2 linked regions of the Drosophila melanogaster genome follow. Changing the gene in region 2 together with the main gene of any one other region gives a genetic interaction. Each region holds a gene or a part of one and is shown on either strand. Other genes may lie near its edges. The genes, in order: Tsp68C and ytr.

Evidence for each region.
Region 1: of ytr (region 2) and Tsp68C, changing one suppresses a phenotype caused by changing the other (phenotypic suppression), as found in Drosophila melanogaster (one study listed by BioGRID).

The regions. Positions count from the first base shown.
Region 1 is NT_037436.4:13,841,618-13,846,080, reverse strand, and holds Tsp68C (tetraspanin 68C), read right to left. Parts: upstream 2,426-4,463; 5' UTR 2,221-2,425; coding exon 2,164-2,220; intron 2,067-2,163; coding exon 1,035-2,066; 3' UTR 765-1,034; downstream 1-764. Other genes in the region: CG8750 (uncharacterized protein), read left to right, coding at 3,191-3,421; CG8757 (uncharacterized protein), read left to right, coding at 3,883-4,458.
Region 2 is NT_033778.4:23,846,356-23,853,002, forward strand, and holds ytr (yantar), read right to left. Parts: upstream 5,126-6,647; 5' UTR 5,021-5,125; exon of another isoform or gene 4,934-5,020; 5' UTR 4,906-4,933; exon of another isoform or gene 4,513-4,905; 5' UTR 4,458-4,512; coding exon 4,216-4,457; exon of another isoform or gene 3,975-4,215; intron 3,947-3,974; exon of another isoform or gene 3,718-3,946; coding exon of another isoform or gene 2,980-3,717; exon of another isoform or gene 2,891-2,979; intron 2,445-2,890; coding exon 2,102-2,444; 3' UTR 806-2,101; downstream 1-805. Other genes in the region: CG5554 (uncharacterized protein), read left to right, coding at 1-234; eIF6 (eukaryotic translation initiation factor 6), read right to left, coding at 2,980-3,717; gbb (glass bottom boat), read left to right, coding at 5,400-6,647.

The sequences.
Region 1 (4,463 bases), on a different chromosome or scaffold from region 2:
AGAACTCACTTTTAAAAACTTTTACACTTAGCACTTTTTCACTGTAATTATATCCACTGAACTTGACGATTTCGATGCGCGATCGCGACTAATGTTCCCCATGAATGGGGAGCCCCTTTTATAGGCCCGATTCCGTAGCTGGTTTATCAGAACACTCGGAATTGTTAGGCTCAAGCCCACTATTTATCCACGATCCGCAAAAAAAGCACCATCATCAGCTTATCGGCATCGCCGTTCTTAAATTAGCAAAGCGAATGTAACAAATCTGTGCCAAGTTTAAGCTGATGCTAATGCCTTCCTGATAGCGGCATTTCCGGGACCTATGTCATAATTTTACTAGAGTCCACGATGGGTGTAAGAATTTTCTGACTTGGGGTAGCCCCCTCTGCTGATATGTCGCCATTCAAAAGTTATATGGTCAACGAAGAGCTGCTGGATGTAAAGCGTCCTACGCAGAAACTTCTCCAATGGCATTGAACTTGGGTGGTGGAATATAATCACTTTAATGTTGGCCAAGGGTGAACTAATTTCAAATATTCAACGTACTACATTGTGACCGTTAAAAGTTATCGGTTCAAGCAGTGCAAATGCTGAATGCAAGCAGTTTACGGTTCATGCGTTCGAGCAGCAGCTTGTCTCGTAGCTCGCTAGAGGGCGCATTGGTGTCAAAATTAGTAAAGTGTATTGAACCTGCCTACAGAAATAACTTTTGGGTACCAAATTTAATTAATGCACGTATTTAAAACAATGAAAACGTTTAAAGTGGAAAAAATCTTCAGATTTACTTCAAAGTAAGCCATCGAAATTAGATTTATGGTTGAAAAACACTGAATACATTAGAAAATATATTTAATATATTCCACACTTAAATAAATAATATTACTAAATATACTTATAATTATACTACTGAGCAAATACATACTGCTGTGATATATATAGATAACACTTTTAAATTTCATACTTTCCTCTCTTGGCTTAGCTTTATATTAGCTTAAGCTATACGTGTCCATTTGTGAGCAGGATAAGGTTTTCAATTAGACCAAATAATTCCTCATTTGTGTTGGTCGGTTGGCTGGGCTTGTTCTTAAATTATGTTGTTTGTACAAGTCTCTCGGTTTTATATACAACTCCTTGAAATCCTCACTGCTGACATGTCTGCTAGCGGGTCCCAGATATATTCCGTCTCCACTGTGATTGGAATTTTCTCTCAGTTCAACATCAGGTTCGTATATATTCTCGATTAGGGTTTGTCGCGATTTTACTTTTTGAGTCCGCATTTCCTGAACAGGTTTCTTAAGCCTAGCCCGTTGCGAAGCAAGTCCGGTGCAGCTCATGATAATGGCGAGTAGGACACAAAATTCAATCATGGCCAATATTAGACTGGCGCCAAGAAAGATGCTGTACTGTTCGCGATACCAGTTGTCCAGATGGGGCAGACATGACTCCGTGTGGCGTTCCCTTTCGTAGGACAATCGTTCCAGAGACTGACACATCGATTCATTGGCCGGCTTGGGGTCCAGATATGCCATGGAATGTCCGGCATTCTTAAGAAAACAGCAACTTAGCGGCACCGGCCAATTCCTTTGTCCATAGCCCTGTAATCTCCACAATGATGTGTCGTAGTCCAAGGAACTTCTCATCCCACAACATCCGAACCGGACCTGTGCCAAATCCAAGGCATTGGTAAACTGCTCCTGCCCCGGAACTCCATAGTTGCTCTGCAACGATCGCACCATCTGAGTCTCATCTAAGCTGATTCCCAGGCAATGTGGCCACAATGTGATGGCCAGGCACAAAACCGATTCGGTCAGCAGGAGCACCACAACGCTCAGGAAGTATATGGTTAGAAAGCAATAGGTGTGAAGGCAACTGGCCCAGAAACCCACAACGGCAGCCAGAGTAGCCACAAATCCCGCAATCGCCACACCCAGTGCTATATAAAAAAGCAGCGGCTGCGGAAGTGAGCTCAGCCGATCGCTGGATGCAGCCAAAAGTCTAGAGAGCAGAATGCGTTTGTTATCGGAGAAGATATATAGACCTGATACTACCAGCAGCAAGCCACATATCTGAAAAATGCAATTAGTCAATAAATATAGCATATAGGAACTACTAAACTTGCTAAAGCAGGAAGCTATACAACTTTCACTTTAGTTAGTCACTCACCAAAAACAAAAAGTTACATAGATTGAGCACAAATTTGTAATTAAAACAGCAGGCCATGTTTACATCAATGCGGGTGTGGGTCTTTCAAACTTAATTAGAACCAAACGTTTTATGACGAAATGCAATTATTGCGACATGTACAAAGATCAGTGATGGCGATGATGTATATCTGGATGTACTGCATGCTCAACAGTGTAGATGTGTAGATACTCCAAATCCGAAACTTCAAATCAGCACCCGTGTATTTCAATTCGGATATATTCAATGCGACGCCATGGACAGTACAATTTAAACTAAACAGTGCGGAGATGCAACATTCTGTGGCAAGTTCAGAGAAGCGAAAGTAAGAGACCACAGAGAATTCGCTCGTAACTCTCTACAAACCCCATGATGGGTAACTCTCATTGAAACTTTTCAAGCGTCGCGCTTAGCTTAGCAAAACAAAACCGAAAACGCTGTCCATCCACCAAAAATTTTAAACTGGAGACTGAAAAGAGAAACCCATGCATGGGGCGCAATGCTCGTTGCTCTTATTTGATCACTGCCACCATCTCCGTGTGCAACCATTTGGAACCGTTTTCCAACAAAAGCCGACAAGCAACAAACAATTACACGAGTTGAACTTTAATTATTACTAGATACCGGAATTTATGTAAAGTTCTTTTTATGGATCACAATGTATTGTGGTTAAGATATGTTTGCTAAACCCGTTACTCATCGTTTTACTTCCCACTTTTTTTTTTTTAAGCTATAGCTTATTATTGAAAGGGTATATAAACTTCGACTGGCCAATGCTAGTTTCATTTCTAGTATGTAAGGGTATACCTTACGGTATATTGATTTTAAAAATATAACATATTACTTTAGCTGTAAATCCTAGTTGTAAATCAATCCTAGTAGGCTTGACCTAACACTTCACCACAGACTAGGCCTTGGCAAATTAAAATCTTGTTTAAAATAATTTGTGTATATTTAAAATCATTCGAACTGATAGAGCCATTTGGAGCGAGTGAATGCGAACCAAATTATGCTTAAGATTCCAAATCGGCGCAAGATGCCTGTGTCAGAGCAACAGCCTCGAGTCATCAAGATAGAGCGACCAACGACTGGAAGGATACTAGGTCCTTTGAACGTGGCCAGCATGCAGCAGCAGAACTTCTTGGCCAAGAACAACCCAAAAATATCCGAAGATCTGGGCAGTCGCTTGCAGACTCTGCAGAGACGTGTCCAAGAGTGGAAGTCTTCAGGCCAAGTCTGAGATAAAACGTAAACTTGGGGATGATGCAAAAATAAATATTGAACAAATCGAAGTAACTTAACTTAACCAAATAAACAAATAGTTAAAGCATAATATTATAAAATATTGCTTCAATGATATACAAATTTTGGTTGTTATTATAGTACAAATTATGTTCATTTGCGTCAACTTTTGTAAGCCGAGCTTTCTAATCACTTCTAAATCCAATCCAAAATATTCCACACCTGCATAACACTCATTTTTAATGATAATTAAATAAAATGTAAACTTGACTCCTATAGCCAAATTGACTAGTTTTCAGAGGTTACCAGTCGTTTGAACGTGGGGTGAGTGACCTACTTAAGTGGGCGAGTGCAATTAATAAGTAGTGCGTTGATTTTTATGGCTTCATTGTGGTTTTGGTCTTATGCGAACGCCAAATGGCCAGTCATTCGGTGTTTAGACGTCTGTGGAACGGTAACATGGAGCGTTGGTGCAATAAAGTGGCCGTGGTGAGCGGAGCGAGTGCCGGAATTGGTGCAGCATGCACCCGTGCCTTGATCGGAGCAGGAATGATAGTGGTGGGTCTGGCCAGGCGGCATGAGCGAGTTGAGAAGCTTCGCAGTGGTCTGAGTCTCGAACAGCAGTCTCGGCTTCACGCAATCAAGTGCGACATTACGCAGGAGGATCAGGTTTTGAAGGCCTTCGACTGGACCTGCCGGCAATTGGGTGGAGTGGACGTGTTGGTGAGCAATGCTGGGATCATTGGTACCGGAGAACTCAGCGAGCGGGATGATGGTCCTGCTATGCGATCCACCATAGAAACAAACATCATGGGCACCGTTTACTGTGTCCGCGAGTCCTTCCGTTCGATGAAAAGGCGAGGAACCGAGGGCCACGTGGTCATCGTGAACAGCGTGGCGGGCTACCAGGTACCCAACCTGGGACCCCAGCTTCCCTCGCTAAACATTTATCCGGCCACCAAGTTTGCCCTTCGCGCCATGAACGAGATCTACCGCCAGGAGTTCCAGAGGCACAAAACTGCCGTGAGGGTTTCGGTTAG
Region 2 (6,647 bases):
GGCGACGCCGAGGAGAACGATGACGAGCAACGCGATAGCGACGAGGAAGAACAGGAGGACGACGACGAAGAGGAAGAGGACAGCGAGGAGCAGGTGGGCGATCTGGCCACTAAAGAGAAGGAGGCCGACAGCGAGCCGGAAAAGGAAGAGAAGCCGGAGCCCAAGCAGGCCGGCGATGCTGCGCCCGAGAAGACGGAACAGGTGCGCAAGCGCAAGCCTCGCAAAGGCGATTAGGTGCAGCGGGGTCCCTGCGGATCTTCAGCCTTAGCGATCATCAGAAGCGGCAACAAAAAGACTAACACACTGAATCGAGAGGAACACAACCTCTTACCCAAGCATCATTCGAGCGGACATAATCCGTCTGCTCTGCCTTCGCGCACAAAACCGATTGTTTTCCCTCCTTCTAATCCTAGCCAGAAAACGGCGCCCCATGTATTTCATAATTATGTAAAGCAAAATTGCAATCCATTAAGCGATAGCAAGCGTAACAATAACTAAATGTAACTTTAGTCGTATATTTTTACCTTTTGCCAAGCATTTTTGTATTTTGTGTTCAACTTGGTTTCCACACAATTCATTTCTCTTAAGCATTTCATTTGTAATTGTACTTCAATCGCAAATTGTATTAAATTTTCGTATTACAAAATAATAAAAAAAAACATACAATTTAAACTGGCTTTGTTTACTTTGCGCTTCTAAATAATTTGGATCCCAAAGAAATTTCACATATGCACGTATGTATATTTGAAATGGAAAATCCATTAGTTTCATTCACAGTTAACACCACATAAACAACATGAACATTAATGGTTTTACAAATTTATTATCAGTTTATTGTAGGAGAATATGAAATAAGACAAAATCCCTGCAATTTCGTGTGTGTAAAACTACAAATAATTGTTATAAGATGTGTGTGAGTGGTGCTGGTCCAAAATGGTTCAAATTTTCCAATACATGTGGCTGTTTTCCAAACGCAAAGAAATGGGTAACTGAAACTGTTGCTTAAAATAGTTAGCTCGTTGAGGCGTACAAAAATTCATGCCTACTATCTTATAAAAAGAGTACAAAAGAATGATTATACAAATACATATCTGTAATCTGTATCAAATGTGATTCATCTTCAGCGTTGCTTGCCTGATCTGTTGGCACTTGTGATTGAAATCGGAATTAACTGGATTAATTACAACATTTTGATTGTTCAACAAATAATAGTTCTTTCAACAAATTGCTATGGCTATTGTTGGATTCATTTCGGGGGTTGCGGGGATAAGGTACTTGTGGTGTGTGTGTATATATAATTTCTATATTTAAATATATATTTGATATATATTGTTTGGTTGTAAAACTTGTACTATTGCAGCGTATGGAGGAAGTTTGTTGGGAGGTCTTTTCGATTGCGGTTGGGATCGGGATGGGGATCTGGATGCGGATGAGGATGGGTATGGGTATGGGTAAGGATAAGGGTATGGGTATGTGAAGAGTGCGTTTCGGGCTGTGGTAAGTTTTCAAATACTTTAAGTAATTGTCTGTGTGTGAGTTTGGAAATTTTTCTGTTGTGAATTTGGGTTTCTCAGGCTGGCTTCAGTTAATTCGTTCGTATGCGTACAAAATGGCGAGATGTCAACAAAAACAATTGTTAATTACTTTGAAATATTCAAAAAGCAATCGTCGTGCGTCGTCGACTGCAGCTGAAAGCAGATTCGCCATCCGAGAACGTCTGGCTGGGATGGCTGGCTTTCAGCCCCAGACTTTTGTTGTAAAATTAACCTGGCGGCCAACTCTATAACAAAGGCGCACTTCAGGCTTAGACTACTAAATAACTAATTGAGGTATGTGTGTGGCGAGGCTGTCCTCGTGCTGAACTAGCTGGATGCGTGGAAATTTTGACGGGCCAAAAGCTGGCTGAATTTCGTAAACCGGTCTATTGCATAAAATTGCAGGTCTTCGTCCGCCGCCCATTGCCCATTGGGCACGGACAAGTAAAAAAGCGTAGCAAACTAGTTGGGCAACGGAAAAGGATGTGGCTGCTGCGATGGCGATGGCGATGGCCAATGGCAATTGGAATTGCAAGGACAACGCCAACGGCTGCTGCTAGGCACTGCTATGCCACGAAATCGAGCGGCCGGTTGAAGCCACCCTTGCGATTCATGTACTGGCGGTACTTTCGCTTGAGGATTACATGCACTTCTCCGACATCGTTGCCCTCGACCTTCCTGTTCTTGGTGGTGTCGAACGTGCAGAATCCCATTGTCTTCAGCATCTCGACCTCTTCCGGCGATTTACCCTCCAGGTCCGCCTCGTTGATCTTGGGCCGGTCGGCAGCTGTGGCCGCCGCATTGTTCCTCGTCGTCCTTCGCGACGTCGATGGTCCGGAGCTGCTGTTGCCGCCGCTGCTTCCGCCGCCGCCTCCTCCTCCTCCTCCTCCGGCGACCCTCGACCGCGATCTGCAAATTATGAATGTGTGTGCATAGTGAGTGGTGAGTGTTCTATAGATTTCGTTTGAGTGACAGGACCGACCAGTTGATTGCATTCGAATTGCAACGAGCCTGGGAAATAACTGGGGCGACCTTGGGCGTTGTGCACCCGATTGTGCAATATGAAGTTTTAATTACGCGAAATGCGACACTTCTCAACCGGTCGGTTGGCTTCATTAAAGACCATATTTACGTCTCGATTTTGGCAATCATCTGAAGACCCAAAATAACCGGCTTGTATATGCATATGCTAGAGAATTTCATTCTAAGATTTAAAATCAAGCTCAAGATCCCTCTAAAATCCATTCTGAATCCATTTATATACCTAACAGACAATATTCCTCTATTCCTCTAGCTTATATCTCAAAAACTTCCATTGGAAAATAGCTAATTGATGCTTGCAGCTCCCAGACTTTGTTTTAGTTTCGTGTTTTGTATTTCTTAAATGAAATGTAGAAGATAACAGATAATCCTTATATCAAGTAGAAAGTGGGGAAAGTTTCGCTTAGGACATGTCCTCGATGAGGGCCGCACGCAGCTTGGTCGTCACTGTGGCGGGCTGTGCCTGGTTAAGCTTGAAGACGCTCTCGATCACGGAGATCTCTGTGGCCGTGGTGTTCATGCCCACGAAGGAGAGCCAGTCGTTGACGACCATGCCGGCGGCGAGTACTTCGCTGCCCCGGTTCACTGTTCCGGCCACGAGGGGAACCTGCAGCAGGGACGACAGTTCGTCCTGGTCCTGAATGCTCGTCTTGGGATGCACCATGCCGCCCTGGTTGCTCAGCACGGCGTAAGAGCCCACCAGTGAGTTGTCGGCAATGGTCTGGCGGAAGACCTCTACTTTGAGCACGTCCGCGATGATCTCCTCGGTCTCCTTGTCCAGATCCGGGTGCACCAGGGCCACATAATCATTGCAGGCGATAACGTTGCCCAGCGCGGACAGGCGCTCCTCCACACGATAAATCTTCACGGCGTCTGGCAGGCTGTTACGCAGGTGTTGCAGCTCCTCGTCGGTGGTGGAGTTGGGCACCAGCAGGCCGTTGCGGTTGCCCACGGTGAGGCGGCCGATGATCCGGCAGCCGCCCACATTCGCATGCACCACCGGGATGGTGTCGCCCAGCTCCGCCTCGAAGGCGCTGTAGAAGGTCTCGGATCCACCGATGGCCACCAGGCAGTATGTGTTGGTTAGTTTAGTGAAGACGCCGATGTCGTCGTTGTTCTCGAATTGGACGCGTAGAGCCATTTTCTCTGTATTTACGTGGATCCTCTTTTCCTGCTGGTTACTCTCTTTTCGGATTTACTGGCCTGACTGAGCCTGCTGCCGGATGAGTTCTGGATTCTGTTTATATGTCCGGAAATCAATTTAAATGTCGTGATGAAATTCGCACAATTTCGCTTCACGTGGTAATTTTTTTTTGATGTTGGGACGCCAGAGCTGCATAGCCATCGATTGGCTGCCTATCGAAGTGTGGGTCTATCGATACTCGTGGGTAAATAAACAAGTTCTGAACGGCGATTTCGGGGGTTTGAGGGGTCAATTGTCCCCTGTGTTGGAATGTGTTCCTAAATCTACACAAACACTCCCTAAGCTTATCCTAAACTTATAAATATTGGTTGCTATTTAAACCCCATTTCACGGTTATCCAGCACGCCCCTGAACTGTGACCCACATCCCCGATTTTAGTGACTAGTTTTATACTTATCGTGGTTGGCATTTGGTACACTACACTTTCTTATTCACCTAGATCGCCGACTCCGCGCACGGTCGCGCTCCCGTTCCCGCTCCCGATCTCGGCTGCGACTGCGGTCGCGATCCCGTTCCCGGTCGCGGCGACCGGCGCCTCCAGATCCGGATCCTCCGGCTGGCGCTACTCCGATGGCCTCCCGCTCCCGGGAACGGCGCTCCCTGCGCTTCTTCCGCTCGGATCGCTCCTTCTCGCGTCTCCTGTGCGCCGGCGAGGCGGGACTTCGGCTGCGGCCCATGGCTCCGTTTCGGTCTCTGCTTGTGTGGCGGTTTGAGTGATTGATGATGGTTTGCCTGCAGTGGATTTGAGCGGATGTTAGACTCCATGTACTCCAATTGCACCGCACGCATCCCGCTTACCGTTGCACTAGGCTGTGTCTAGCATTATTTGGGCGACACCGGCGGTGGGTAAAAACGCGCTAACTTAAAACTAAAACCAAATAAACAACGCGCGTTATCTCGCCGCGACGCCGAAACGGAATGAGGAATGCAGAATGCGGATGATGATGCGAGGGATGCGATGCAAGGGCAAAACATGGCCACCTATCGGATATCGATTGATGGTCGATTTTATCTTCGATAAAAATGTATCCTATGTATATCGCATACCGAATGTTTAAATCGATCTGTTTCCTTTTGAATATGAACTATGTATATATATTAATTAATATTTTTTAATAGCATTACCTATATTATATTTCAAATTATGCCCGGACTATGATAAATTTAACAAATTCATAATTACAAATCTTTCGTCAATACCACTTCCATAAATAGTTTAAAATATCAAAATATTACGAACTTTGCCAATATAAACGTTATATTTTCTACATTTACACAGTTTCTTCTTTTTTTTTTTGAAGCTATTAAACCACATATTTGCTCACGATCGCAGCTGAAATGAACTACTATGTTGGATCTTCTAGTTCGATCTTCAAGACCGATTCATTTTCCAAGTCGCGGGACTGCCAACTCCCGCGAAATAGAAAGAAAATGCATCTTGAAGATTAAGATACACACAACAATCCGTAAGTGCGTCAGAATTTTCAGAACCCGCGGTTCGCTGGAACTCTCGAAATAAACAACTAAATGCCACTGTACATCTGAAGCTATCGCAAGTGGATAGCGCCGTAGATATAGAAAAACAGCGATCGCAACCGATCCGTCCAAAACACGAAATAATGTCGGGACTGCGAAACACCTCGGAGGCCGTTGCAGTGCTCGCCTCCCTGGGACTCGGAATGGTTCTGCTCATGTTCGTGGCGACCACGCCGCCGGCCGTTGAGGCCACCCAGTCGGGGATTTACATAGACAACGGCAAGGACCAGACGATCATGCACAGAGTGCTGAGCGAGGACGACAAGCTGGACGTCTCGTACGAGATCCTCGAGTTCCTGGGCATCGCCGAACGGCCGACGCACCTGAGCAGCCACCAGTTGTCGCTGAGGAAGTCGGCTCCCAAGTTCCTGCTGGACGTCTACCACCGCATCACGGCGGAGGAGGGTCTCAGCGATCAGGATGAGGACGACGACTACGAACGCGGCCATCGGTCCAGGAGGAGCGCCGACCTCGAGGAGGATGAGGGCGAGCAGCAGAAGAACTTCATCACCGACCTGGACAAGCGGGCCATCGACGAGAGCGACATCATCATGACCTTCCTGAACAAGCGCCACCACAATGTGGACGAACTGCGTCACGAGCACGGCCGTCGCCTGTGGTTCGACGTCTCCAACGTGCCCAACGACAACTACCTGGTGATGGCCGAGCTGCGCATCTATCAGAACGCCAACGAGGGCAAGTGGCTGACCGCCAACAGGGAGTTCACCATCACGGTATACGCCATTGGCACCGGCACGCTGGGCCAGCACACCATGGAGCCGCTGTCCTCGGTGAACACCACCGGGGACTACGTGGGCTGGTTGGAGCTCAACGTGACCGAGGGCCTGCACGAGTGGCTGGTCAAGTCGAAGGACAATCATGGCATCTACATTGGAGCACACGCTGTCAACCGACCCGACCGCGAGGTGAAGCTGGACGACATTGGACTGATCCACCGCAAGGTGGACGACGAGTTCCAGCCCTTCATGATCGGCTTCTTCCGCGGACCGGAGCTGATCAAGGCGACGGCCCACAGCAGCCACCACAGGAGCAAGCGAAGCGCCAGCCATCCACGCAAGCGCAAGAAGTCGGTGTCGCCCAACAACGTGCCGCTGCTGGAACCGATGGAGAGCACGCGCAGCTGCCAGATGCAGACCCTGTACATAGACTTCAAGGATCTGGGCTGGCATGACTGGATCATCGCACCAGAGGGCTATGGCGCCTTCTACTGCAGCGGCGAGTGCAATTTCCCGCTCAATGCGCACATGAACGCCACGAACCATGCGATCGTCCAGACCCTGGTCCACCTGCTGGAGCCGAAGAAGGTGCCC